Linked DNA regions of Macaca mulatta. The protein of the gene in region 2 interacts with the protein of the main gene of each other region in a pairwise test. Links are inferred from orthologs where the notes say so. Each region holds a gene or a part of one and is shown on either strand. Other genes may lie near its edges. The genes, in order: KIFC3, ATF2 and ATF3.

The links.
Region 1: the proteins of ATF2 (region 2) and KIFC3 interact in binary tests that used the Homo sapiens proteins (3 or more experiments, as listed by UniProt). The two-hybrid records come from large-scale screens. The link is inferred for Macaca mulatta from reciprocal best matches to the Homo sapiens genes ATF2 and KIFC3.
Region 3: the proteins of ATF2 (region 2) and ATF3 interact in binary tests that used the Homo sapiens proteins (3 or more experiments, as listed by UniProt). The link is inferred for Macaca mulatta from reciprocal best matches to the Homo sapiens genes ATF2 and ATF3.

What each region holds. Positions count from the first base shown.
Region 1 is NC_133425.1:53,367,737-53,377,203, forward strand, and holds the end of KIFC3 (kinesin-like protein KIFC3), read right to left. Parts: intron 8,813-9,467; coding exon 8,631-8,812; intron 7,413-8,630; coding exon 7,308-7,412; intron 5,669-7,307; exon of another isoform or gene 5,457-5,668; coding exon 5,326-5,456; exon of another isoform or gene 5,149-5,325; intron 5,003-5,148; exon of another isoform or gene 4,890-5,002; intron 4,756-4,889; exon of another isoform or gene 4,748-4,755; coding exon 4,624-4,747; exon of another isoform or gene 4,586-4,623; intron 4,379-4,585; coding exon 4,249-4,378; exon of another isoform or gene 4,163-4,248; coding exon 3,933-4,162; intron 3,593-3,932; coding exon 3,458-3,592; intron 3,182-3,457; exon of another isoform or gene 2,989-3,181; coding exon 2,620-2,988; 3' UTR 2,533-2,619; downstream 1-2,532. Other genes in the region: KATNB1 (katanin p80 WD40 repeat-containing subunit B1), read left to right, coding at 1-131. UniProt on the Homo sapiens protein: Minus-end microtubule-dependent motor protein. Involved in apically targeted transport. Required for zonula adherens maintenance.
Region 2 is NC_133417.1:80,092,798-80,102,522, forward strand, and holds the start of ATF2 (cyclic AMP-dependent transcription factor ATF-2), read right to left. Parts: upstream 5,246-9,725; 5' UTR 5,092-5,245; intron 4,752-5,091; exon of another isoform or gene 4,676-4,751; intron 1-4,675. UniProt on the Homo sapiens protein: Transcriptional activator which regulates the transcription of various genes, including those involved in anti-apoptosis, cell growth, and DNA damage response.
Region 3 is NC_133406.1:70,336,278-70,346,113, reverse strand, and holds the start of ATF3 (cyclic AMP-dependent transcription factor ATF-3), read right to left. Parts: upstream 4,840-9,836; 5' UTR 4,767-4,839; intron 1-4,766.

The DNA.
Region 1 (9,467 bases), on a different chromosome or scaffold from region 2:
TGCACAAGTGCCGGCTCTGCTACAAGCAGCTCAAGAGCATCAGCGGCCTGGTCAAGAGCAAGTCGGGCCTGAGCGGCCGCCACGGCAGTACCTTCCGCGAGCTGCACCTGCTCATGGCCAGTCTGGACTGAGGAACGCAGTGGGCAGGGGCGCTTGGCTGCCCTCAGGGCCTGGCCTCAGCCCCCACTCCTGTTCCTTTTGTGCCTAGTGGCCCATGAGCCTCTGCCTGGCCCCTGCCGCTGTCCTGTGGCCGTCCTGGAGGAGGTAACGCTGGTCCCTGGCCACCTCTACAGCCCTGAACTCTCAGACAACTCTCTCCAGCAATAGCTGCCCAGCTTTGCCCAACTGTTGCTTCTTGGGGCAGCGAACTGAGCCCTGGGGCTGCTGCTGTAATTTATAAGGCAAATTTTATTAAATTTGTAACTATTCCCAGGTTTCCTTGCGGGGAATGTTTTCTGCTGGTCACAGGGCTCCCCACGTCCCAGGAGTGCCTGCCCCGTCGTTTCTGAGATGAGGCCACACCCCCTCCAAGCCCTGGGGTGGGGCTCTGGGCCGTGTGGCCAGCAGGGGGCAGCAGAGAGTCAGGCCTGTGGGACATCAGTTCAGACTGGGAAGGAAAGGGAGGCGGCAACCACCCTTCCACCACTGGGTGTTGAGGTTAGGTAGGGGTGGGCCCCACCAGCCGGTCCTCCCCACCTCAGCCACACACAAGTTGTCTTATGGACACCCCCAGGATGCCTCCAGGGGCAGGACTGGAAGGCACCTGCCCCTTCTTCTGAGCAGGGCTCTGATCAGCTGTCATTCCCTGCTGGAGCCCCCAGCACTGGCTGGCGGGAAAGGGCCCACTGCTCTGTGGTCACTGCGACAGGTGGGCCCCCTCCTGCTCCCAAGGCAGGGACCAGGTACAGCCCTGTCCCGGGGTGGTCAGGGTCCTCGGCACTGGAGGAAGGTGGCGCGGACCTCTGGCCAGTTCACTGAAGAGGGAAAAGGCCAGGGCAAAGGGTGGGCAGTGGGTGGTGCCCAGCAGTAACCCGGAAGGCCAGCATGGTTTGGGCAAGGCTTTAATGAGCTTTCGAAGCTCTCTCCAGCCTTAGTTTCCTTCCCATCAGTAACATGGAGGGAGGTCGGTCAGTTATTGTGGGCACACGGTAGGCACTGCATGAGGTGACTGTGACCACAAACAACAGAGAAAGTGACCCAGGGTGGGACAGCGCGGGCTCCCCCCAGTTGTTAAGGATGCATGTCCCTAACTGACCTAGAGGACAGCTCCTGGAGGGCTGTCACCCCGGGAGTCCACAGGACCTGCCAGTGCCCCATCCCCCTTAGCAGACCAAGAGGGGCTCACAGGCCAAAGTTTTCAGACCATACTTGTGTAAAAAGGCTTTTATTTTAATAAGTAAAAATGGCTAAGCTTCCAAAAGTTCTTAAATAGATTTCAGAGGGAAGAAAATTCAAGAGACCAGTGAGCCAGGCAGGTGAGGGAGCAGCAGAATCCCCCACCCACTGGCTGCCTCTGTCAGCCATAAATATGGCGCGGCCCCGTGGCAGGAGGCCGTGCGCCTCTGTACACACCCCAGCTGCGGGACCCCTCCTTGAAGGAGAGGGGCGGGGAGGGCTGCCCTTGGTGCCACCAACCCACCCCAGTCCGAATGGTTCTTGAGCCTGCCAGGAGGCTCCTTGCCCACCCACGAAGGAGGGGGCTGGCCAGTCCTGCAAGCTGAGGAGAGGAGCTGGGGCAGCCTGGGTGAGAGGCCCGCCCTCCTCCACTCTCCTGCCCTCCTCACGGGGCCCAGCTCACTGACAGCCCAGGCCCGCCAGGAAGAGCAGCCACCCCCGCTTTTCCGCCCATGCAATTTGCACCCAGAGCCACAGCCGAGAGACACCGTTTCCTTCTGAACATGTTTCTCATCTCTGAGGGGAGACGGGGCAGAAGAGGAGCCTTCACTCTTGCCTCCACCTCCGGGGGTCCTGGCGCTGCAGCAGGAACAGGCCGGTGAGGCCTCGGGGCCCAGCTCCAGGCCCAGCGGGGTCACATCCGTCACACAGGCAGTGGCCGCGACTTCCCTGCAGGGGCACCGGGATCATCAGCCTCTTGTCCACTCGCCCACCGGCAGCCCACAACAGGTGCCACCAAGAGCAGGAGGGAACCCAGCAGAAGCAGACAGACAACACCAGCGGAGGCCAGACCCAGCCCTGAGCAGCAGAACGTCCCAGCGCAGCCCTGCAACCCATGGCGGCGGGCAGGCGGGTAGCCCTGGGCCACTGGCCCCACACTCACCTAGAGGCTGCAGCCCCAGCCGTCAGGCTGAAATCAAAGTGACAGGCGTCTCACTGGTGGGCCTGCCTCAGGCCAGTACCCCACAGGACCCTGCTGCTGCTACCCCTTTGGACTCAAGGACAGGCCAGGCCTTCCCATGATCTGGGCTAAACAGGGGCTGGAGTCCTGGATCCCAGTCCTGTGGTGGGGCTCACTCCTCACCTAGGACGTAGGCAAGCCCTGCCCTTTCTATCCCCAGGGCAGCTGAGGTGCAGGGAGGGGGATGCAGGGACTGCTCTGGAGGGGGCTTACTGCACAGGCCCAGCCAGCCCACCCTCAGAGAGCAGGGTCCCAGGGTAAAGTCAGCACCCCAAGCTGGGAGGCTGGGGTCTCCTTACACTACCCCTCCCCACGGACCTTTCATTTCCCACCTGCAGACTGAACACAGCACTGTCTGCCCTGACGACTGCCTGGGGGCAGGGGAGGTTGTAAAACAGGTTCTGAAGAAGTTGTAAGAACTTTTTAAAAAGGAAAGAAAATAGAAAGCCAATCCAGGTAAGGGCAGCCTGGTGACTATTATCCTGGGGAGACTCCCCCACCCACACTTCCACCCCAGGCTCACCCGAGGGCTGCAGCTTCCTCCGGATGGATCCAGGGCGGCTACTGGTCCCAGAGCTGGGGGCTGAGTGGGCCCGTGCTGAGGGCTGTGGCGTCTGACAAGCCGGCTCCCACTGTCAGCAGGGAAGGGCGGGTGGGCGTGGGCCACGGCTGCCCTGGCTCCCCACCCTGCTGTGCTGCTCTCTACTCCCCTGCCCTGCCTCCTAACCTCCTAACACCCAGTTTCCTCATCTGCAAAATGGGCATGATGCTCGTGCCCCAGCCTCAGTTATGGTAAGAATTAAACGAGATAATACATATAAAGAAGTCAACTAGTTACCACTGTGTGCTAGGTACAACTAGTACCTACTGTGTGCCACCCCCACGGCCAGCTGGTCACCCCACAGGAACCTCTGAGGCCAAGAAGAATTACCTGTACTGAAGAGGCTCCTGGCTGTGGGTTCCAGCTGTAGCTCCACCCACCTCCGGCAGCTTCCCCGCCCCCACTGCTTCAGGACGTCCCCGCCCAGTTCCCCACTCCTGCCATGACCCAAAGTCTCTGACCCAGGGCCACCTGAGCCAGGCCTGTGACAGTCCCCGTACCTCTAGATGTTCCTGGCTCGACCAGGACCCAAGCTCTGCCCTGCGTAGCCCAGGCCCCAGCTCCACAGAGCGCACCCGCTCAGCAAACTTGAGAGAATAGAGCGTCTCGCTAGTGTTCTTCTCCACGGGGGACACCTACGGGACACAAGAGCTCACTGCCCAACCAGGCCAGCTGGAGGGACAGCAGGGCCAACAGAGGGAGCTCACAGCTGGGGATGTCAGAAGGCTTCCTGGAGAGGACTGAAAGATGGGGTGAGAGGGCAGGCAAGGTGGCAGAGGTAGCGTGGTCAAAGGTGGAGAGGAGGGACTGGGAGTCACACAGGGTGTGTGTGGCCAGGTCTGGGGCTGGGGGCTGTTGCTGACTATGGAGCTGCTGAGACAAGGGTTCCTTTGCACAGCCTGGGGTGACCGGGTCTCGCTGCTAGCGCAGCCCCTCCACTCTAGGGACTGGCCCGCCCTAACCCAAGGCACTCACCTGTACCACCATGAGGGTCTTGCTGTCACCACTAAGTGAATCCTGCAGCAGGTAGGTGAGCTTGGAGTTGCGGAAGGGCACGTGGCCCTGGCGGGAGCGCAGGGCAGCAATGACGTCCCCCAGAGCTGACAGCGACTTGTTGATGTGCTGTGCCTCCCGCAGGCGGCTGCCCTCAGCCCCCGACTTGCCCACGCGCTCGGAGCCAGCCAAGTCCACCAGGTTCAGCTTCCCTGCAGGGAGGGCACCCAGCAGATCAGGCCTGCCATGCCCCTTGTGGTTGTGGGGATCCTCAGGCCAGGCTGCCCGCCACTCTCACCCGTGGTGCGGAGGCCCGTGCTGCAGTCCATGCCTCGCACCGTCACGATGAGCAGCGCATGCGAGCGGGAGCTGTGCTCGTTGAGGTTGGTGAACTCCGTCGTGCGATTGGTGTGGCCGAACTCAAACACCTGGGGGATTGGGAGCGGGAGGGCAGAGGCACAGCGTTGAGAATGGGGTCCTCAGAGTCACCTGGCCCCAAGCACCCGTGAGGAGTTGGCACCACCCTCTGCAGTTTAGATGAGGGAACTGAGGCTCAGAGAGGCGTGGGGACTTGCCCAAGGGTGCGTGCTTAGGACACAGCAGAGCCTACATTCAAACCCAGTTCTGTCCTCTAGAGCAGCGTGGCTGTGGTCAGGGGCTCCCTCCTCCACACCTTGTTGATGTCGTCCACGCTCTGCACCTGGAACTCAGTCAGCCCTGGTACATACAGCTGCCCACTGCCATCTGGGCATAGCCGGATCTCCAGTTTTTCCTGAGGCTCTTTCCCTAGCAGGTCCCTGGAGGGGTAGGTGAGACAGTCACGCCCTCCTCCCATTTCTGGCTGCTGTTTGCACTGCACCCAGCCCCCCAGCCAGGAATGTTCCCCCAACCCAGGAAGCCTTCTTCAGCCATCAGCTGAGCGCATCTCTCCTCCTCCAGCTCCTCCACCGCATTCAGCTGACGCAGAGATCTCACTCCACAATGCAATGAGCCCTGTGGGCAGGGCCCCCAGCTGCCCACTCTCACCCACAGCCACCTGGTGCAGCCCACAGGTAGGGGCAAGGATTGCCTGGGTCTGGGCTAGGGCAGGCTGAGAGAGAGCCCCTCCTCCCCACAGGACCACCCAAACCGATGGGCTGAGTCAGGACTTGCAGCCAGGTCCCTTGATGGCCTCATCTGTTCCCTGTACTCCCTTCAGGAAGACCCCACTTCCTATCCCCCATTGCTCCAGCACCACTCCAGAGGACCCCAAAACTGCCCCTGAGGCCTGCTCCCCACATGCTGGGGCTCCCACCTGAGGACCTCATTCCAGCACCACCCCGGAGGACCCCAAAGCTGCCCCTGAGGCCTGCTCTGCATACCCTGGGGCTCCCACCTGAGGACCTCGTTGTAGATCTCCGCGGCGCTGACGGTGATGGTATACTCCCAGTCAGACGCCTTCTCCTGCACCTCGGAGAAGAGCAGCTGCAGGGCCCGCTGGTTGATACCTGGGTTCTCAGGGGTCCCCTGGGGGCAGAAGGAAAGGCCCCAGTGAGCCAGGCCTGTCCCCAAAGATGCTCGTGTGGCGTCTGTCCCCCAAGCCCCTTGGTTACTCCTCACAGGCAAGCCTCCTTGCCCAAACCTACCTACCTGCCACTGTCCCCCAAAATGCCCTCCACCAGCTGCAGGCAACTGCACCTCTATTTCCCCACCATTAAAATGGTATCGCCCTGCCAGGACTACCCTGAGACTCATTGTCCGGCACTGGGGTGAGGGGCCTGGCCCAGACCCCACATAGGCCAGCTGACGGCCAGATGCATGCCTGGCCCTGCGGGGCCACCTGGGAGGGGTGCTGGAAATGAATGACCCCACCACTGCCCAGAAAGGGGCTCAATCTCAGGGAGGCTGAGGCCTGGGCTCTGTGGGTGGTGGAGAGGAGGCACAGGGAGGAGTGGACCAGTGTCCTGGGGCAGGAGGGGTGGGCCGGCCTTTCTAGAAGGAAACCTGGAGTCCCTACCTGGGCCCTCGAGGCCCTGGGAGCCTGGCCCTCGCCCTTCTTCTGACAGTATCTCTCACCCTCTCTCTATTCCTGCCGCAGGGGCCTCCTGGTCGGGCCTCAGGTGCCCCTGGCATGCTCTGGCCTCTTGGCCTTGGCCCTGCAGCTCCCTCTGCCCTGGGTGCTCCTCTGACCTCCCCGTGGTCGGCTCTGTCATCTCCCTCAGGGAGGCTGCTCCTTCGCCCAGCACCCCCAAACGCCCTGTCCCTCCCCCTAGTCAGTTCCACATCCCTGGCTTTATTTTTCTCCCTGGCCTGACAGGACACTTGCTGATTTATGTGGACTGTGTTGCCTCCCCACAGCCAGGTTGGCACTGTGGGGAGGGCCCCCTGTGGAGGCAGGGACTGTTTGGGTCAAAGCTGTACCTGGCACAATGCCCGATATGCCTCAGGCATCAGCAGATACGCTTGAGGACGAACGCTGATGTTTCTGGTGGTCAACTCAACTCTAAGCAATCCCAAAGCAGAACAGGGAGCCCAGGGGATGCTGCACACACCCCCTTCCTCCTCCCACCTGGCCTGGCCTGCCCCCACTAACTAGTCTCACTAGTTCCAGAATTGAGGGAACAGCAGAGTCCAGATGGGAAATAGAGGGCCGCCATGACAGGCTCCCTGCCCAGCAGGCCGGGCCAGCCCTTTCCCCTGCCCAGATGCCGTACCACCTGGCCTCCTTCTGACCTAGGGAATCCCACAGCACCCCTCAAGAGTCAGGGCTAGCTTTCCACTGCCCTCTGCCCACAGTCAAGATCCTTCCTCATCTCAACGCCCCCCTCCCTGGCCAGCCACCTGCTCCACCACACCTGGGAGGGCGCCGGTGACGGGCAGGGAGAGGAAGCCTTGGCCTGGCCCCAGGGGCCACCAGCAAGAGCTGGGCTCCCCACCACAGCCTTCGCATGCCAGTCTTGCCCTGGGATCTCCTTGAGGACTGAGACCAACCACTCATCCCAGATCCCCCAGGCCCGGCCAAGGCAGCCATAAAGCAGGGGCGTGCAGTGCACAGTCAAGGTGAAACGCAGCCCCGGTCCTGAGAGAGGTGGGTGGCCTGCCCTGGACTCTGTCCCCAGGCCAAGATCCCTGTGATGACAGACCCCCCTTGCCTCTTCCCCAGTCCTGCTGGGCCCATTGTGGGTACCGTTGGGCAAGGGGGCCCCCTCTTAAGGCCTGGTGCCTTGGGGCTAACACAGATAACTACAGCCTCTGCTCCTGGGTTGTGAGGACCAAATGAGGCAAAACACACACTGCACAAAACTCCAAGACCAATGAAGGAGCCCGCATTCCCTTCATACCTCACTGTGAACCCCCACCCCGTGGGGCAGCACCCACCTCCATCGTGTATGTCTTGCCGGCACCCGTCTGGCCGTACGCAAAGATGCAGACATTGAAGCCATCGATGCAAGAGGTGATCAGGGCCTGCACCTCCTGGAACACCTGGGAAGATGGTGGCAGGGAGGCTGGTGGGGGGCTTCCAGGGCCACTGGGACCACCAGCTACAAGTCCAGCCACCTCCCCAACCATGCTGTCCTTTAGCAACACCACAGCACGTGTTACTGCAGTCACTCAGCTCACAATGATTCGTGATTCGTGAGTCATATGTTAGACATCAGTGGGCAACTGGGCCGCCCAAAGACTGCAGGGAAGACAGGCCGGTGCCTGCTGCCCTTCCCCCAGCTCCTCCTGCTCTCTCTCAAAGAGCGCTCAGCACAAGGAAGGCAGAGGCCAGCACATGCCTGGGGACTCTCTGGCCTGGGCCTGCCTGCCAGCCATCAGCGGATGGGGGCAAAGACAGAACCAGACATGAGAACAAGAGGGCACAGGCCTTGGTCCGGCTAGCAGGTTGGTCTGGGCAGAGACAAGGGAAGAGTGGACACTGAGAACACATGGTTCTCATACAGCCTCAGGGGGTCGGGGGATTCCTAGGAAGGCCCAGGGGACTGATACAGGAGGGTACTCCCAGATGGAGAAGATGGGCAGGGTCATGAAGACAGATGGGGCCATGTGGGTGGGCAGTCACAGCCATGAGGGTGGGAGGGGCTGTGATAGTGGGAGGGGCCTGAAGGTGGGTGAGGCCACATGGTGGGAGGGTGGGAGGGGCCTGAGTGTGGGTGGGGCCATGCAGATGGAGGGGCCACAGCATGAGGGTGGGATGGGCTGTGATGGAAGGAGGGGCCTTGAGAGTGGGCAGGGCCATGCAGTAGAAGGAGCCACGTGGATGGGAGGACCCAAAGCCATGGTGGTGGGAGAGGCTGTGGGTGGGGCCATGTGGTGGAAGGGACTGGATATAGGAGGGGCCACATGGTGGGAGGAGCCATAGCTGAGAGAATGGAATGGGTTATGATAGTGGGATGGGCCTTAAGGGTGGGCGGGGCCACATGGTAGAAGGGGCCTTGGGGATGGAAGGAACCACAGCCATGGGAGGGGATGGGCTGTTTCTGGATCTCTCCTTCCAAAGGAGGCTTCTAAGGCCTTCAGTCTTAACTTCCCACCCTCTTCTGTCCTCCAGAGGAAGGTGCGGGACCCTGGCTTCCCACTTCTGATTCCTGTACCCCCCACTCTTAGGCTTCTTCCTGCCCAGCCCCTCTCCCTCCCTGTGAGTCCGTCTTTCCCTCTCTCCATTGCTTTCCCTTTCCCGCATGGGGCCACACTCACGTCCTGCTGCGAGGCCTGTGGGGAGAACACCTTGTCCAGCTCGAAGGACACAGGCTTTCCCTTGTGCAGCAGGTGGATGATGGAGTCGTCGTCGGCATCGAAAGTCACAGCATTGGTGGCCTCAGGTCCTTCCCCATCCTCTTTGGTGACTGGCCGGACACGAGCAATCACTCGGATGTTCCCTGGGTTGGTTGGGGATGGGGAAATGGGCCCAGGCCATGTCAAGACCAGTCTCCACTCTGGTCCACTGGTGTCCCAGGCAGACCAGTTGGCCTAGGAGTCCCCTGACTTTTAAGCACAGCCCCCTAGGGGAAGGGGGCCCACAAAGCTGTTATCCATCATTCACACTATAGTATGCATTCACTTAGTACATTTCTTCTTGAACAGACCAGCTGACTGGGGTGGAGCTCTGCCTTGGGGATGGGGAGGAAAGGTCAGTTGTGGGGCTCAGGCACTGCACCCAGTCAGGATGAGACGCCAGAACGGATACTCTCTTTTCCTCCCTGGACTTCAGTTTCTTCATCTAGACAATGAGGGGCTTGGGCCCCAGTGAGCAAAGAGCCTTCTGAATGGCAGGACAGGGCTTAGGAATCAGATGGGCATATAGGCCTGGCAGCAGGTGATGACTGATGGTGTATCTGAGGGCCCAGATAGTGGGGCAGCCACAAGGGTATCTGGCAGCATGAGCTGGTCATGCCACCATCTACTTCCAGCCTTCGTTGGGATTCCTGTGTTCTTGTAATGAAGAGGAAACATCCCCCACTTCCAGCATGGCCCACCTGCCCTCCCTTTTCACCCATCTGTTCCAGCTCACCATCCAGGTCTCAGCTCTAACTT
Region 2 (9,725 bases):
CAACTATCAAGTAACAAATATCATAAAGGTTATACAACATGGAAAAATATAATGCTATAAAAGTAAAATAAAAATAAAAGTAAAATAAAAACTTATTTGATATAATTCTGTAAAAACTGTAATATATATGCACAAACTAGAAGAAAACAAAAATAATGAACACAATTATGTTAGTATCGCAAAACAAGTTGATACATAAAAAAAATTGTTCCGACACACGTTTAATAAATAAAAGCAAACATACTAGTCCAAACAGTAAAATTAGAAAAACCAAAGCTATAAAATTGGAACAAAGCTAAAAAATTGGAATGACAAAGGTTTCAGTTCTGCTAGCAAACTAAAGAATATTTAGGGAATATATTTATAAATTTGTGGTCAATATTATAGATAAAAATACTATATATTACAAAAGTAACCAAAGTCCATATGGTTATTTTGCCAATTACAATTCTTTCTCCCTGTCTTTCCCTACCAATCTTGTTGAGAATCTCTACGGTAATAAGCCACTACTACTGTTGGAAGTATTTTCTATTCCTTGGGTAGAAAGGCAAAAAAGTGGCTGAGAACCACTATCTTTGTTAAGATACAGAATGCAAATATGGGTGAACAGGCAAAGCCCCCAAAACATTTTATTTACATCTCTTCTTTACTGTCAATGTCAAAATGCCAAGGAAAAAAACCATCAATAAACATACTTCAAAGTGAAAATGAAGATGGGTGTGGTGGCTCATGCCTGTAGTAATTCCAATACTTTGGGAGGCCGAGGCGGGTTCGAGACCAACCTCGCCAACATGGTGAAACCCCATTTCTACTAAAAATACAAAATTAGCCAGGCGTGGTGGCGGGCACCTGTAATCCCAGCTACTCAGGAGGCAGAGGCAGGAGAATCACTTGAACCCAGGAGGCGGAGGTTACAATGAGCTGAGAGCAGCACTGCACTCCAGCCTAGGTGACATAGCGACTCCATCTCAAAAAAAAAAAAAAAAAGTGAAAATGAATACACTAGTTTCAAGGTTGCCAACAATAATTGAAAACATATATATAATGAATACATATTTATAATCATATAATATGTAACATTAAATACACCTGTAGCATAAAATAATGTATAAAAATAGGCCAGATGCAGTGGCTCATGCCTGTAATCCCTCAAAAGTGAAAATGAATACACCAGTTTCAAGGTTGTCAGCAAGGTTGTCAAAAAGTCTCAACAAATTGAAAAGACATATATAAGGAATACATATTTATTTATAATTTTATAATATGTAACATTAAATATATTTATAAGATAAAAATAGTGTGTAAAAACAGGCCTGGTGTGGTGGCTCACGCCTGTAATCCCAACACTTTGAGAGGCCAAGGTGGGTGGATCACCAGAGGCCAGGAATTCAAGATCAGCCTGGCCAACATGGTGAAACCCCATCTCTACTAAAAATACAAAAATTAGCAGGGCATGGTGGTGTACCCCTAGGAATAGCACCCCTAGCTATTCTGGAGGCTCAGACAGGAGAACTTCTTGAATCTGGGAGGTGGAGATTGCAGTGAGCCAAGATTGCACCACTGCACTCCAGTGTGGGAGACAGAGGGGAGACTCTGTCTCAAAAATAAAATAAAATAAAATACACTTACTGATGGCCTTAAAGATCCACAAATTTCCTTGATTTTTTATGAAACGATCTTACACCTTACTATATAACCTTTTAACCTTGAGAAACATAACAAAGGAAATAAAATGTTCCGTGGGGTTTTCCTTCAAACATAAACAGGTGATTACTATCCTACTACTTCAACATTAAAACTTACATAAAGAGAACATGCAGCATTTTAGACAAGTTCTTAGCCTTGAGGAATTGGTGTGAGTATAAGATAAACACAAATACTAAAGTCCAGATTACAACAATACCAAGTGAGTTTTTTGTTTTTGTTTTGTTTTGAGATGCAGTTGCACTCTGTTGCCCAGGCTAGAATGCAGTGGCACGATCTCGGCTCACTGCAACCTCCTGCTCCTGGGTTCAAGAGATTCTCGTGCCTCAGCCTCCCCAGTAGCTGGGATTGGAGGCACCCACCAACGTGGTTTCACCGTGTTGGCTAGGCTGGTCTTGAACTCCTGACCTCAGTTGATCTGCCTACCTCAGCTTCCCAAAGTGCTGGGATTACAGGCATAAGCCACCACATACTGCCTAAGGTGGGATTTTTTTAGGGTACATTTTAATTATACAAAATAACCCAACAAGTGCTATAGGCATTGACTTTTATAAAAATCAGTTGAATATTAATTATTGTTATTCACTGAATTTTAAACAAGAGGTTCTGGTGAAAATCTGGTTTTAATAAGGGAGACTTCAACTACTTTATCTTCTCCAACGACATTTTAGTAAGAATAAAAACGATAAAGAAATGCCTACCTATAGACATATTTCATATTGGAAGGAAGAGCTTGAAGACAAAATAAGTAGAAACAGCACACATTGGTGAGACTGTTTACCTGATCTAACATGATCTAACAATTTACCAGACAAGAATGTATGTATCATTAAAACCCAAGTTTTCCAAAATACAAAAAGTTGGGTAGAAAAAATGTACATTATTCTTTGAAGAGTTAACGCTACCTATAGATAGATGTTTGATGTATGGAATATTTTTCAACCATACTCACAGAGCTTTCAGATCCTGAATACCAATAAAGAGTACCTCCACCCCCATTATTTGTTAAAATGCTGACAACCATTTCTACTATTTATTTATTTGAGACGGAATCTCGCTGTCACCCAGGCTGGAGTGCAGTGGAGTGATCTCGGCTCACTGCAACCTCCGCCTCCCGGGTTCAAGGGATTCTCCCGCCTCAGCCTCCTGAGTAGCTGGGACTACAGGCGCCACCACGCCCGGCTAGTTTTATGCACTTTTAGTAGAGACGGGGTTTCACAGTGTTAGCTAGGAAGGTCTCCTCACCTCGTGATCCCCCCGCCTCGGCCTCCCAAAGTGCTGGGATTACAGGAATGAGCCACCGCGCGCGCCCAGCCTCTATTATCTAAGCTTAAAAATAAAAAACAACGCCAAAGAAAAAAGTGCAGGAATTCCTGGGTTACATATTTAACTAATAATAATATAGTGCCCCAAATACGAAATAAACATTCGGATAAGGTATTTTAAAAAGGATTTTCAGGAAATGCACCCGGAGCTACAGAAGGTATTATATACCCTACACACACACACAAAAGGTCCCTGAAAGCTCCTTCCTTACTGACAATTAAAATACATAACATCTAAGTTCTAAATTTCCACGATATTACATTTTAAATCATTTCTTAAAACTTAATGGCAGTAGCATTCTCTCAAAGCAAGATTAAACGTCTTGGAAAGGCAACATACACATCACGGCAAATTTGGAAGATTCTCAGAAATTCTTTTACACATCACGGTAAATCTGGAAGATTCCTAGAAATTATTTTACAAAGACGAGGATTCTTAACTATTACGCAACTACTGACGGCCTTAAAGATCCATGAACTTTCTTAATCTTCAGAGGATATCTATTTTTAAAACGTATTTTACAAGGATGTTCCTATCATTTTGAAACAAAGTTTTTACGGTGGATTCCTCGAGTAAGAAAAAAAATGAATACATGATAAAACTGTTTCTGTGTTTGCACTTCAGGGCACTTAAACCTGTAGGTGTTACTTTTTAAAAAGCTTTTATAAAGCTTTACCTTCATAATTTTGATTCATGAGACCAAAGCTATATGGCTATATAAAGATTAGAACGGCTGTTACTGACAATGATAACGCCAGTGGTCATGTTTCTTCAAATAGGACAAAAAGTGTGCTCAAAGGAAGTCAGTTTTTGTTCTGATTTTAAATGTATATCGTAAATGCATGCATTGTGACGTCTCCATAATTTAAAACCTCTAAGAAATTTAAACTTTCACATTATAATTCAGGGATTAGTCAATCCCTTAGTACCAGTTAAATAATAGCCAGGAAAGCATTAGAAAACCTGAAGGTACATGTAAAGAAATGCTTTACATCACTACTTAAAATAGGTGTTGAATTTTAAGAGAAACATTTCTTTCAGTAAAATTTCTGATGCCTGAGGTCCATCAGGAATAATCTCTTTTACTACATGATATTCACAGTAGTTTTGCTCTTGGCCTCACCAGTTTTAAGACTCTCCATTAAGGAAAGCCAATTTTATACTACCTAGGGGCACAAAAATAGTCCCCAGCTCCTCCTCTCTTTTTCCTCCTAGGTTCGGTTAAACGAGCGAACATGGAAAACACGTACACACACTCCCTTTCGGCCCTGGTTCCTAGGGCATGATGAAAAGCAAATTATTTCTTTACATAAGGTCTGCTGTCCACCCAAAGAGATTAAAAAAAAATAGGGGAAAATACCAGAATCACTCTGCACCCACACCTAAGCCCCGCCCCACCGGGAAAAAGTGGGGGGTAGCGGGACTGTGAGGGTGGCGGAAAGGACGGAAAAGGCCGAGACTTGCAGCTCCCAGGTTCTCCACACCATTCTTTCCTTCAGGCTGCACCGCAGCCAGGGACCCTGATTCTATTTTCAGCCGCGCCTCCCGATCCTCCTCCCCGCCACCATCACAAATACACGGTCCTCAATCGCTTGAACACTGGGTGGGGAGACTAGAGTGGGCCCTCTCCCCGCCCAACCCAAGGACTGTGGGTGGGAGAGGTCTCCCTGCGCACACGGCTGACTCGACGCGCGCCCCGAGGACCTCTGAACTGACCCAAGCAGGGGGAAGATAAATCGGAGGGAGGGGTCTAAGAGGAGCCGTTATTCCTTTTTCCTCTGCCTTAGGAAAGCGCGCGAGAGGGAGGGGCCGGAACAACGAACGCTGGTTACCTAACGGTCCGGCCCAGCCAGTCAGTCTCCCAAAGCCCACACCGCGCGGGCCGCTAAGGTGGCATCACAGCCACAATCGCCCCAAGGGCTAAGAAGCACGTCAGGAGCACCCGAGGTGATGGGAAACGGGGGGTGGGGACTGTGCTGAGCGACGTCGCCATGTTAGCACCTTCTTTCTCCGTATCCCTACAGTCTCCAGCCCTGCTGACCTCTGCCCATCATTACTCACCTTTCCAGGTCACTAGTTCATGATCCTTTCGGTCACTCGTGAGCCCCGAGCACAGCCGTGTTTACAAACCACCCCTGGACGAAAAGGCTGAACGGCACTTTAAAGGCCACGGGCTCCCACAGGCTTCCGTCCTCTCTCGCGAGATCGGACTGACAACCCTCCTCCCCCCCCCCGACCCGCCCCGCTCCCGGCATCCCCCCCTTCCTTCTCGCGCCCCTCCCCTCCATGCTCACGCCCCGTCTTGCCTTCCTTCTGAGGGAGAGCCTCCGAGTCAGGTGATTCCGTCAGGCTTAAGGAGAAGAAGGCGGGTCTTCGGCAGGGCGGGTAGAGGGGACGGGCACCAAAGAGCACTCGGGCGCTCGTGATTGGGCAAGGAGCCCGAAGGGCGGGAAGCAGTTCTGGAGGGGGCGGGACCAGAGGGCCCAAGGAGCGTTACCTCTGTAAACCCAAGGCTGTGGAAGGCTGTGATTGGCTGTCGGCTGGAGGAGGGGGCGGGTGCAGGCGGCGGAGGAGGGGTAGGCAGGGTGTTGGCGGTGTGAAGCGAGGATGGTGAGCTCCAGAAAGGCTGGTAGGGGGAAGCAGGATGGGTCCTCCGAGCCCAGCCCCAGGAGCCGGGTGTCTCCGTTGCCGTCGCTTCCCAGCACTAGGTAGGGAGGTGGGTAAAGGTAGGCTGCGTTCCTCAGCCTACCCCTGGCTCCCCGGGAGTCTGAGACGGGGAGCTTCGGGTTAGGTGAGGTTTGCGGGAGGCAGAGTTTGCTGGTAATTCCCCATCCCTACCCTCCAATAAACCTCACACAACTTAAAGATTTTAATATTAACTGTAGGGATGTTGGTTATTCAATAAATAGGCACAAGTTGAAAAGTATGATCAGAGGCCTCTGAAAATTTACTCAATAAAAGATTTTCAGTCTTTTATTTTTCCATTTATTAAATACTGATTTCTAGTCTGTAACAAAATTATGAACTAGTTTATATATTAACATAAAATACACTCTCAAAGTTGTTGAAAGGTTTTAGGGGATATTATAAGAGATAATGAGCCTGAAGTTCAAGAATGATATCTGGCATAAAGTGAAATTGTAATGGCATTGACATTTTCACAGGTAGGTCTCTGGACTGCATACATGTATATAAGCCAACTCAGTCCTCTTTTAAAACTAATTTTAGTTAAAAAACATTAAGCCAAATTATTAACACTTTCCTACTTAAAATGAAAGTGTTGTCCCCATATAGTAACAGTAATGTTGTAGTAGTGTCATTGTAGTGTAACACTAACTATGTCAGCAAAACCTCACAGTTCAGATTACTCATGATGGAAATGGTGGACAAAATGTTTGATTGACATCACAGTTGTTAGGTCTAGAAAACATTGATTAAAATGATGCTTCTCTCTCCATCTCCCAAAACAACTAATGTGAGAAAAAGAATTAGAAATGTTACGACATTTCAAAAGAAGTTTGGGTCAATTAGAATAGATTTTTTAAAAAATTATTTTTCCATTCATGTGTATTAAAATTTGAAATTATTTTTTTCAGTATTCAATTGGGCAGTAGCTTTGGTTTTAAATTTCTCATTTCTACTTCTCTGGTCTGTTGTCAAGCAGTTAAATTATCTACATGATGCATTCGAGGAACACATTTTGAAGAAAGTCTTTCAGTTCTTTTTAGACAAGAGAAGAACTAGTGATATGAACAGTACTCTGATCTGTTTTGATAATTCAGTTTCAGCTAATTTTCTAAAGAGAAGGTATACCTAAAGTGAAAAAAAAAAAATAAACAAGATAGGGGGCGGGAAACAGGTGGAAACTATGCCAGTCTATTATATATGCATTTTGGCAGCCTGGCGTTTAACAAGGGTCTCACTTTATCCACATATTTCTAGTTCCACAGCAGTTTGTTTACTATAGTTTTTCTACAAGTGGGGAAGACATTCAGCATTGTCAAAATGAATGTAGTTACCATATTCAGGTCTGATTCTGTGAACTTGTCTCACTACTTATTCATATCCTCATAAAATGCCATCATTTTCCATTTTTGTTCTCACTTCTGCATTCCTCAGTATCCCCAAGGGTCCTAAAATTCTTTAGTCTTCTCTTTACAAATGCAGGAAACTTACTGTAGACCTCTTCTTTACCTGTCTTGTTCCATAATGCACCTACCCAAAACTTAGTTCTAAGAGAATTAGTGAGAGTCTAGTGAATCCCCTTTAAGAACCCAGCATGACTGCTAAATAAAACTAATATTCCTTAGATACAAAATGAGGCTATTTGAAGAAAATGCATTTCTGTTATGGAAGTGTTAATAACTAAATATCATAAGAATCAATGATGGTCTCTAAACACCCTCAAAATCTTCCAAATGCCACATAAATGTGGTATTTCCACCTTAGTATGATAGGGCTGTTGATCCATAATCTGTTAAAACTGCTCACGAAAATTCTAAAACGTGTGTGTGTGTGTGTATATATATATATATGTTCTCATGCTGCAAATAAAGATATACCCGAAACTGGGTAATTTATAAAGGAAGGAGGTTTAATTGATTCACAGTTCAGCATGGCTGGGGAGGCTTCAGGAAACTCACAATCATGGCGGAAGGGGAAGCAAACATATCCTTCACATGGCGGCAGCAAAAAGAATGAGTACCCAGCAAACGGAGAAGTACCTTATAAAACCATCAGATCTCTGAGAACTAACTCACTATCATGAGAATAGGATGGGGAAACCACCCCCATGATTCAATTGTCTCCACCTGGTCCCTCCCATGACGTGGGGATTATGGGAACTACAATTCAAGATGAGATTTGGGGTGGGGACCCAGCCAAACCATCTCTCTCTCCATCTTCCCTTTCAGCTTCCCCTCCTTCTCTCTCTCGCTAATAATTTACAGAACACAGTTTCTGTTTGTCTGCAGCTAACCAAAACATAGAAGACTACAGGGCACCCCTTATGTCTGCTTGGTACAACTAATCCTAGGCTTAGGGAAAGAGCCTGTACATTTTCATGATATTCTCAGGATACAGCCTAGTACAGTGGATTAGCTGGGATTTTATCAGTGGAATCAAGGTGGGGGGGTGTGTGTGTGTGATGTGAAAGGGGTGGGGGACACAGGACATGATTACCCCACTGATACCTGAGATGAAATAGGATAATGTGGGCCCAGACATTGTACAGACATTTTGGTAGCTTCTATCTCATGGCAGATCTTTTCCTCTGCCAGTTCAGGGTCTTCCTGCACATTGCTGAAACGGCCTATATTAAAGTTACCTCTCAGCACTTGTCCTCATCATGGAAATTCTAAGTGCAGGGATGTCTACCCTCCAACCCAAATCTTGGGTTTCCCAAAATAATTTATAATTATTGGGGTGTGGAATTATGGGGAAAAAAGTCGTTTATCTTCACATCATACCAGTTGGTTTATACTAGCTTCAACAAAACCAGTCCAGAGAGAGGGAGAATGGAATTTAAGGGCCTTGTTTTTTTTCTTGATGCTAATGCCACCTCTCTCATCTGACTCACCAGAAAGAGGGATTGCCATCATTATATTCTGCTCTTTTTTTTTTTTTTTTTGAGACGGAGTCTCGCTCTGTCGCCCAGGCTGGAGTGCAGTGGCGCGATCTCAGCTCACTGCAAGCTCCGCCTCCCGGGTTCACGCCATTCTCCTGCCTCAGCCTCCCGAGTAGCTGGGACTACAGGCGCTGCCACCACGCCCGGCTAGTTTTTTGTATTTTTAGTAGAGACGGGGTTTCACCGTGTTAGCCAGAATGGTCTCGATCTCCTGACCTTGTGATCCGCCAGCCTCGGCCTCCCAAAGTGCTGGGATTACAGGCCACCGCGCCCGGCTATTCTGCTCTTTATACAATATTGTTGTTAATAAAAACAGTACCACTCCTACCTTTCATGGCTTCCCATAAATGACCCCTCTGTGTTATTTCAATTTATCACCTTTATTGTGTTTTCCCTTGTTCCTTACTCGGTCTGAAATGCATAGGTCATCTTGTTGAACAGTGTGCTTGTTTGCTGTCTGCCTAGAGCCACTTTGACCTTCCATCATCTCTTCCCAGTGCACAACCCTGATAACCCTCACTGCTCTTTACATCAGTTTGTATTAACAAGCTTCCCAAAATTGCTGGAGAGTCACAAAACTAGGTGAATGATGTTCACTACCAATTTGTTACCTGTCTGGAGCTGGGTCCCTACTGCTGCTCTGCATTTCTTTTATGCACATCTAGTCTGTGCTGTATATACCTTTCTTTTCTTTTCAAGCCCAGATCTGTAAAATTATACCTCTTGTATTTAAAAGTATATAAAAAACAAAGTTCATCATTTCCCCAAATCAGCTTTTTCCTTGTCGTCACTAACAGTCACATAAAAAAACAAAAACAAAAACAAAAAAAACAAAAACAAAAAACAGAACATGGGCTTTAAGGAAGATCTGAATTTGGATCCTGACTTTGCCACTTAATGGCTGTGTGATTTTGGGAACTGTTTAACCTCTGAGCCTATTTTCCTTTGCATCTTGGAAATTATTCCCAAGTTTACAGGTGGTTATAAGGGTTAAATAACAGTATAGCTAGCACTTACTAGATGCACACACCCTCTCATCTCCTAACTGGTTCCTGAGATCTAGGCATTA
Region 3 (9,836 bases), on a different chromosome or scaffold from region 2:
GGATGAGTGTGGTCTGGGCATTCCTCTCACCAGGGATCTGTGGTCATTAGCACAGTCCAGACAGCGAAGAAGCCCTCTGGCAAGTCTCAAACATTTAAGGAGTGCCTCCTTCATACCAGAAACCTTAGGGGCACTATCTCGTTTAATCCTCATGAGAACCCAGTGAGTTAGGATTTAGCCCCCTTTTATAGATGAGATAACTGAGGTTTAGACAAACTAAGTCATTTGTCCAAAGTCACAGAATTAATATGGGGCAGCATCAGGATTTGGAATTAAGTTAGTTTGGCTCCAGGATTCATGCCCTTAATTTGTACATTGCAAAAAATGAACAAATATTATTACACATTACAAAAACAAACCAGTATTATGTTATATTGCACAAACAAAACAAAAAACCAGAGCAAATTTTTGGGGGACAGGCCTTAAGGTAGGTGGGAGGCCTGGAAATGAAGTGATGGAGGCGAGGCTAAGTAGAGATTCCTGGGGATAACTTGAACTCTGTTTAATGAACTGCTAATCTTTATGTCAGGGTGCACACCCAGGCTGCTTGCTACCTGCCCTCTGGGAGTGTGAGCAAGTAGGTCTCTTATCCACAAAATTCTCATACTGGGGTCAGAAGATGAAAATCTGAAGCCCACTTACTCCATCATGTGTTATCATTGTACCTCCCAGTGGCTTCTTCTCCTCTGTTAAAGAGGGCTTGTAACAATCACCCTATTTTCCCATAATATCCTATGAGGAATTGAGGAACTAATACATGAACATGCCCTGGAAAACATTCCTTTGGCCAGGAGCTCCATGATTACTAAGCCTCCCAGAGATCTCTCCAGCCCAGGGCTGGCTCTCTGACAGAGGCTCTGTGGGGTCCAGGAGGGAGGGCGGCTGGTCACCCTCTTTGATCTCAAAGGCTTCTGAATAGAATACCCTGGACTTCAACTCCCCCTAGAGATCTAACATACACCAATGGAGGCAAGACTTCCAGGCCAATGAAAGCTGCCCTTGACTAGTCAAAGAAACCCAGGCTATGTATGTAATTCTTTTCCCAAAGAATGAGTCAGAACTGAAGTTCTTCTCTCAGTTTAATCCTATAATCTTAGGATGCTGGGAGGATACTTGTCACTGTCAGGCAATAAACTCTGAGAAACTAGACTTCTAAAGCCAGAGGCTTAAGATTCTCCCATGCATTCATGTTTCCCTGCCCTTTCCAACTTTATTAAAAACCCAGTGATTCAGGGATGACATTCAGAGCTACCACTGGGCTAGTCTTTGTTCGGAGGCCTGGATGGCTCCCTTCTACATGGTACTTTGAATTTCACTGCAGTAGAGCGTAGTTCCATTTTGCCACCCAACTAGGTTTATTAATGAGATCTCAGGGCTTGGGGTCTGCTGTTTGTGACTCCCATCCCGACCCTTCTTCTTATGTAAAGTCAGCAGTCCCAATGAAAGAAGCTGAAGAACGTCAGTGGTATGGAATGCTTTTATGGAAAGCATTGGGTGGGCTTACTTGGGGACAGAAATGGTTGTAAAAATGTTAGAAGTCTTTCAGAAAGTAAAACAGATGTATCTGTAGATATCTGGGTTTTCTTGGCACTAGGCTAAAGCTTAACTTCTTGGGATACTTTCTAGTTATTCTTTTACTCAGTCTCTTGAGTTATGATTCAGCCTAGACTCAGGCTGTGTCCCCACAAGGAAATGAAGTTAAATCATCAGACAATTTTTCAGAAAGTTGAGATCCTCAAACATCCTGATCATTGAAAAAAATTGTTTGGGGACCTCAGATCAGAGTTTCTATGCTGATCATAAAATTGTTCAGACTTGCTACCAAGAACTTGCATTTTGTTTCTGCTTGATTATTTCCAATCAGAAATCATGTTGTATCATTGGTAGTTACATCATTTTCAAGAAAGTGAAACTACTCATGTATTCCTTTAACTGGAAATTCAGCTCCCAGATTTTTATTTCCTAGTAGCTACAGCTACATTGAATTTTCACTTTTAATTTTCATCCTCTTTCCACTAAGCATTGCTCGCTAACCATCTTATGTTACTAGGAAGCCAATACTGGCCTTTCACTAACTCTTCATATCTTGGTCTTCCTCCCAGACCTCTTGAAGATTGTAGGTGCAAAGCTGGGCATCAAGGGCCAGAGACAATGTTTCTGAACCTATCAGCGCCAATCACAAACTAAGCACTCACCAACAAATCACTTAGGCTTTCTGGGCCTCTCATTCTCTTCCTCTGTAATTTGAGATCAAAACTGCCTGCCCCAAAGGGCTGTTAAGAAGGATATATGAGATTTACATATACACTGGGTAGTCATTATTACTGTGACTCCATCTTCTCCATTTCAGGAAAAACTCATTCTGTTGTTATCAATTCAACAAAGCCCTGTTAGTGAGGAATTAACTAAAACCTTCAAGAAATTCAGGTCATTCAGAGCCTCTTTTGTACTCTGATTGACCCCAAGTTCTTCGCAGACCAGGTAGATGTCACCCCACTATTTGCTGACACCAGCATTTCTCCATTACATATTTGAAAGAAAACCAATTCTCACTTAAAAACCATTTCTCCCTTGGAAAGCTTCTGTGGCATCTTGACTATGTCCTTCCTCCTCCCCTGGCTGGGTAACACTTGAAGCCACTGGCCTTGTCCCATGCCCAGCCAATTTTAAAAAGAAAGGAATCATGGACTCTATCTAATGGAAATCACACCCTCTCAATATTAGAATCATCTAGGTCAGATTTTCATTTTGTAATGAGTACACTGGTCCAGGGAGGTAAAAATGACTTGCCTGAGGTCATAAAGCTGGTGAGTGGCCCATCCCATGCCAAGCTGCTGACCACCCACCAACTGCTCATTTTGCTCCATCACCAATAGGTATCACCACCTCAAGGGATCAACCAACAAGGCAACCAGAGAACAGAGCCATTAGCCAGGTAGATAAGGGGTCAAGAGTCCTGGCACTTGGTACCAACCACAGAGGAGACTTTGACAGGACTGAGATAGGGAGGGGCTATCGAAGAAAAGAGCCATGGAGAGAAAGGAATTCTATAATGGCTAAAGGGCAAGGAGGAAGAGAGAGAGAAAGAAGGCTCCCAGCACTGCCACAGATGCTGGGTGCTGTATCTTAGCCCCACTGCGGGCGTGGGGTGCTGCCTTCTTTGCTGTCTCTGAAACAATTCTGACAGTAACTGCAATCCTCACCACATCCCATCTTTGACCAGGATATCCTCAAAGCAGGAGCCTGTATGTTGTAGCATTATTCTACAACCAATGCTAACTGCAAAACAACGGGGACAGTAATACCAATTTTTTGCCTTCACTTTAAATTGTGGAGACAGAAACTTCGAACAGAAGATGTGACTGTCACCTACAACGAAAGGGGTACATTGAGAGAACATCCAGATTTTCTGGCTCTCCTTTTTTTTTTTTTTTTTTCTGGCTTCATCAAGGATTTAGTAACTATTTTATTTGTAAGAAAGCATATGTGACCTCTGCAATGAAATTAGGTAAAAGAAAATGTTTAGGAGGAAAGGAAGTAGATGAGAGACAAAAATGGGGATAGGAGGAGCACAGAAGGAGAAGGAATCCAGTGGAAAGAAAACTGGTGAGGGAAAAGATGCCCTGCAGAAAAGTCCCCTTTCCCCCACTGTCTGGACACCGGTCAATGACATTAGATAGAGACCCACAGCATTCAAGTCCCCTCACTGGCTCCTTTTCTTCCCACTACACCACCCTAGAATCTGAAAATCTCCAGACAGAAAGGACCTTAGCAGTTATCTGGTCCAACCACTGCATTGTGCCCTCCAACACGCAGAGGGGGCCGGTACTGCCCATGTGCCCCTATTTCCCGGCTCGGCATACTGAGGCTCAACGACATCGATTGCAGTGTAAGCGCTCAGAGTCCTGGCACTAGACCACAAAGCCATTCTCTCAAATATCTGCACAACTGGCTCCACACCCTCGCTTCCCCGCCACGGTGGGTCTCCCGCGGACCGGCCGAAGGAAAAGCCAGAGTGAGAGTCCCAGGTGTGTGGGAGTCCCGGGCTCGGGTTCCAGACACCAACCGGTGCCGGGAGCCCTTCCCGTCGTCCGCCCCGGGACAGCGCGACACCAGCGCTCTCCACTTCCAAACTTATCCCAGCTAACTTTTTCTCGGGGTTGCCTTCACGGTCCTGCCGCCAGCGCTCCGGGGTGCCCAGGGCGACCCCCAGCGGCCGCGCACGCGACGCCGCCCGCCCTCCTGCCCCTTCCCCATTCATTCCTCTCCGCGCGTGGGGCAGCCCTCCCGCAAGCCTCCCGCCTTCGTGCCTCTCTGCCAACCCCGGGAAGGATCGGCTCCCTCAGTGCCGTGTCTCGAAGCGAGGGATGCAGCGGGACGGCGAGCTGGGCAGCCTCGGACACCCCAGCGCACCCGCCCACCCACCTCACGCCCTCTCCCAGCCCCGCAAGCCAGCGCCGTCTGCGGAGAGAAGCGGCGCTCCAGGCTGGCGGCAGAGTGGACGCCAGACCTCCGTCACCAGGAACCTTTCGCGCCCCAAGTCAAAAGAGAAAGTTAGTTCTTTCGCTTTGCGGGAAACTTTTCAAAGCGCCGAGGAGCAGCGGTGGCTTAGAAGAAGTTAAAGCCAGAGTTATTTCCAAGCCGGAGACTGGGGGCGCGGATCTGGGGTGGGTCAGGGGTCGGCGGACTGGTTACTTAGAGGGGCGCGAAGGGAATGAAGGCAAGCCGCCCTCGTCGCGCTCACTCCCTTGGCTTCCAGCGCTCACCTCCAGGCTCCGCTCGGGGCGGCCAGGGTCCGGAGGACGGGCAGGGTCGGGACCGGGTCGGGCGGGCTGTTTGTCTGGCCGGCGGGCGAGCACCAAGGACTCACGGCCGGCGCGCGGGCTGAAGGGTGCGCTCGGGCGGCGGCGAGAGAAGAGAGCTGTGCAGTGCGCGCCTGGCTGCGTGCGACTGTGGCTTGGAGAGCGTTGCATCACCCCTTTTATAGCCCTCAGGCGGGCGGCGCGGTCGTTTACTCCGTGTTGCCAGTCCCGGGCTGACGTAATGCTATTAATAGCTTCCCGGGAGAACCGGCCGAACGGAGCGGAGGAAGGGGGTGGGGGAGGGGCCAAGGCGGGGCGGAAGGCGGGTGGAGATGGGGGGGCACTGGTGATGCAAGTTCGGGGAGGAGCCAGCCGAGGCGCGTTCCCCCAGCCTCGCTTACTGAGACACACACCAGCCCGCCCTCTCTCTCCATATCAGGACCGGAGTCGCCTGGGATAGCCGCCAGATGTGCGTACTCGCTGCTGCGTGTTCCAGGCATGACCAATGGTGCCCAAGCCAGCGGCATGACTCCACCGCGCTGGCATCTCTCCCTCCGCTAGGTTGAGGAGCGGGGGGGCGGGGAAGGTGGGGAGGCGGGTCCCGGCCCCAGCCCAGACTAGGTGAGGCTGGGAAGCGGGCACGACCTTTCTCTAAAATGCGTGGTCATTTTCTGGAGCTTCAGGAAAATACCCCCTCCCCCACTGGCCTCCTACTTCTCTAGCAGGGACAGAATAGGGGCAGAAGCGTTAGTCTGTGATGTGGGGAAGGTGTCCAAAGTCACTCTTCGGTGTATCCACGCCATTACCCGCCGGGTGTGACCTCCGCGGCGGGGACCGCGAGAAGCCCGCCCGTTAACACAAAAGCGGAGGGCAGCCCTCTGCTGGCACCGTGCGCCGGAGCCCACGGCCCCGGACCCTCCACATAGACGCACACGCAGGACAGCTCCGGGCTCCGAGACTAGGGCGAGTGGTAGGACCGTATCGGTTCGATTTTTCTTCTTTTTTTTCAATCACAAAGCGTTTGAAATTGACAAGAACGTCTCAGTGAAACCAACAAGAGCGTGAAAAGATCGGAGTCCCGGAGGAATCAGAGGCAGCCCGGTGGGAGCGTAGGAGGGGGCGGAAGCCAGTGGCCAGGACTAGGGGGAAAGAGAAGGTGCTTTGGGGTCCGCGAACCTGCCCAGGCCTGGGGGTCGCCCCGCTCTCAGGCGATATTTAGGGAAAACCCATCTTCAGCTTTCACGGGTTCTTCTGCTCCCAGAGCCTACTGGACTGGGACCAGACGGCCCGGAATGGGGACGCACTGACCACAGGCGGAACCCGCAGCAGAAATCCCCTCTGCCCTCAAGCCAGGGTGGCGGGAAAGGCGGGGCCCCGTAGCCGAGATTCGAGCTGAGACCTCAGCAGAACTGGGTTTAAACCTTAAAAACGATTTCCTGATTCTTATTCCCCGACCACAACAGTTTCTCCTCAGAGAGTGGCAGAACCAGTAACCTTCTTGACTGCCTGTGGATGACTATTTGTGGACATAAGTGTGGCCCGGGACTTTCGCACCTGCCTGGGAGGGAGACTTGCGCGGCCGCAGGCTGTGGGAGCACGGCAAAGGGCAGAAACACCTCCTTTCTACCTGCCTCTGGGAGAGAGGCGGCCGAAGGTCATAGTTTGGTAATTTGGGGTAGAAATTAGAGGTGTCTGGAGCCCGGGTCTCACTTGAAGTCCCCAGTTCCCCCCACCGGGGTTCCTCGCCGCCTAGCCCGACCTCACTCAGAGCACCCCTCTCCCCATGGACCTGGGAACACGCGGAGGGCGGCCTCGGAAGTCTTTGCGCCCGGGCGGGCCCCGAAGCCCTGGGGTTCCACGCGGGATCCTCAGAGATCTGGCTCTGCACCTGACCCGATTTCCAGCGGCGTCGCGCGGGAAGTGCAGGGCGGGTGTTTTCGCTTTACTTTTCGCCCTGGTAACGGCTCTCCCGGCCCCACCCTCCGCTCCCACGCCCTCACCCCCGCGCGCCGCGCAGCACACCTCCACAACCCGCCCTCCCGCTGGAGTGCGCGCAGGTAAACCCCGGGCGTGTCGGAGCAACCCCGAGAACACCGGGCGGGATTAGATGGAGAAGCGTTTGTGCATTTGAATGAAGTTATTTGGTATCTCTACTTCGCTATTTTATCTACTTATAGATTGTCCTGGAATAAATAGCACCATTATAAAATGAAGCAAGGAGAGGAGGGAGAACACGTGAAGCTTTTTACTCTTTTTCTGCTGTGAAACAGAAATCTTTCACCAGTTTACAGCTTGAACTATGATTCCATTAATACACGCAAGCCAAATCTGTGGAGATCTGGTCCCGTCCTTAAGGGGAAATTCCAGTTAGGTCGTCAAGTAAATAAACAGCCAGACCGGCCTCCACAAAACGTCAGGGGCTCTGCCTTGGGAAGGAAAGGGTAACTGGGGTGGGGGGAGAAGCCCCTAACACCCTGGTCGGGTTATTTTTATTACCATTGTGCCTCCAGTTCCTTTTATTAATCATGCTTCATTCTAATTACTCTTAGTTTGGAATCTCCAAGTTACACCTGGATAGAAATGCTGTCCGCTGTTCACAGAAGTCTGATCCTGACATTCTCAACCCTGAAAGTGATAAGAATCTTGACAGAGAACTAAGTCCACTCCCACTTGAATGAAACTCTTATCCAAGGAAAACAAAAGCTACTCCTGCCTGCCTCCCTCCCCTCAGCCCCCAGGAGAACCGTGAAATGCCTGCTGAATTGAGAGACTGGAAAAGAACAGAGCAAGGCGGAGCCCCTGAGGTCTTTGCCACAGGAGAGTGATCAACATCTGAGTCCTTTGCATCCTCATTTTACCCTGACTTAAGTTAATGCCACCAATGTCCAGTGTGCACACTCTCAGCACACACACAGCCAGTGCCATGCAGAGGAGCGCACAGAAAAACTTTCCACACCAAAACTCCTCTCGACGCAAACCAAAGAATGGCTGTCTTGCCTTAGAAGGAAGCCCTGGCTAGGGTGATTTCAGGGGTTAATCCTCAATGAAAGACGGTTAAGCAGAGACTTGAAGATTGCTGAGGTTTTATGCTGGTGAACGGCCTGGGGAATCCACATTCGGATCAGCCTTGGTATGTTTTGCTGAGTGAGATAAGAGTTGGAGACTTCATGCTGGGACATGTGCAAAAGGAAGGGAAAAAATAAAAAAGGGGAGGGGAAGGAACTAGGTAATTGAAAACAGCCCACTCGTGGCAACCAAATCTAAACAGAAAAACATTGCAGGGAGCCAACGCGAAAAAAAAAAAAAAAAAAAAAAAGTTCGAGATATTTAATGGTTCTAGCAGTTTCTTAGTTCAGTGCACAATCCCTTCCCACATTCCTCTGCCCCATTACTCTGTTCTGTAAACCCTAAGACTGTATTTGCACCCAGAATGCTAGAAACACAAGGTAAGATCCACCAGAGGAGCGGCAGAGTACTACCAGCCCTGTCTGCCTAGCTCAACCTACTTCTTCGCTTTGAAACGGGAGTGGAGTCGATTTTCTTATACTTTATTCTGTTTCTGAAGCCCACTCTTTCTACAAAGTCAGTTTGAATGTGGTGACTGCTAGTTTAATAGCGTCCAAAATGGGCATTGTCAGGAAACAGGTGCAGCATCACACAGTAGGCACCAAAGTGTGGAAGGCACTTGGATTCTGGATTCAGCACTTAGATGCTGTGTCACCTTAAGTAAGTCATTTCTTCAAATGAAAAATGGCACTAACAATAGTGCCTAATGCATAAAATTGTTATGACATTTCTCTGAGGATGTGGCACCCGGTCAGCCCTCAATAGTGGTATCATTAGTTAATTATGAATCAAGAAAAGCTTTCTGAGGTGCCCCTGAATCTCTCCAGGAACTCATTGAGTACCCCTTGTCAGTGGCAAATAGTGGATGAAGTCGAGCGATCTCCAGGAATGACAATCATAAGGGGGTGGGAATGAGAGCCCAGGCAGACACCGATGAGAACGGTCCTCATTCCCCATCACAGCAACTCCACCACACACCTGGGGCTCTCCTCAATGCTGGGTGGCCCTGCCAAGTATCCTGGGCTAGGAGGAGGGGATTTGGGTTCAGGGTCTGGTTCTGTCTTTGATATGCTTGAGCAAGGCACTCCCCCTTTCTAAGGCTCCCAACTTTTCTGAAGTGAGGAGCCTTGGACTGAGCTCTGATGGTCCTGAATGGGGACCCTCTGCCAAAGCCACCCTATGGGCCTCTGGCAACTTTCCCTAAGAGAGATGGGGAGAGAGAAGACATCATAGGTAAGGCACTGAATACCACAGGGGCAGACCCATTTATGCAACCTTTCTTCCCCTCCAAAAACTAGAGTTAAGAAATGCTGTCCAACTTAAACACAGCCTTTCTCCCACCTCCAATACTTCCAAGAGTTTTCATCCCCATGGACTAGGTGCCTTGTGAGAGAGGGGCGTGGCAGAACACCCCAGGCATGCATTACATCTCTGGGGACTTCTTACATGTAGCCCATCATCAACAACCATAGACATCTACCTTGGTCTACAGGGCCAAAACCCAGGTAGCAGATACTCCCATTTGAGAGATTAAATCCTGGAGACCCCAGAATCCAAAATGAAGTCCTGGAAGTCAGGGGATTAGCAGGACTCAGGAGACCTGGGATTCATTCACAGGTTTACCTCCAGTCAACTGAGTAAGTATACAGTGAGTATACAAGTCATAAACATGATGTCTCAGTTTCCCAGTCTATAAAACGGAACTACTTAGCATTGACTCCCCCTAGGTTGTTGTAAGAATCAAATGAGATAGTAGATGTGAAAGTGATTTGAAAATAAAAGATTTCTTTGGGGAAAGTTTTACTATAATTTTTTTGTCATTATGAAAATTTGGGAAACAGACAAGAAAAAAATATTACCCACAATCTCAACACTGTCAGCACTGTAGTGTGTTTCCCTCTAATCTTTTTTCTCATGTACATGATTGTAAAATATAGTTACGATTTTATATTGCATGCACCTTTGAAA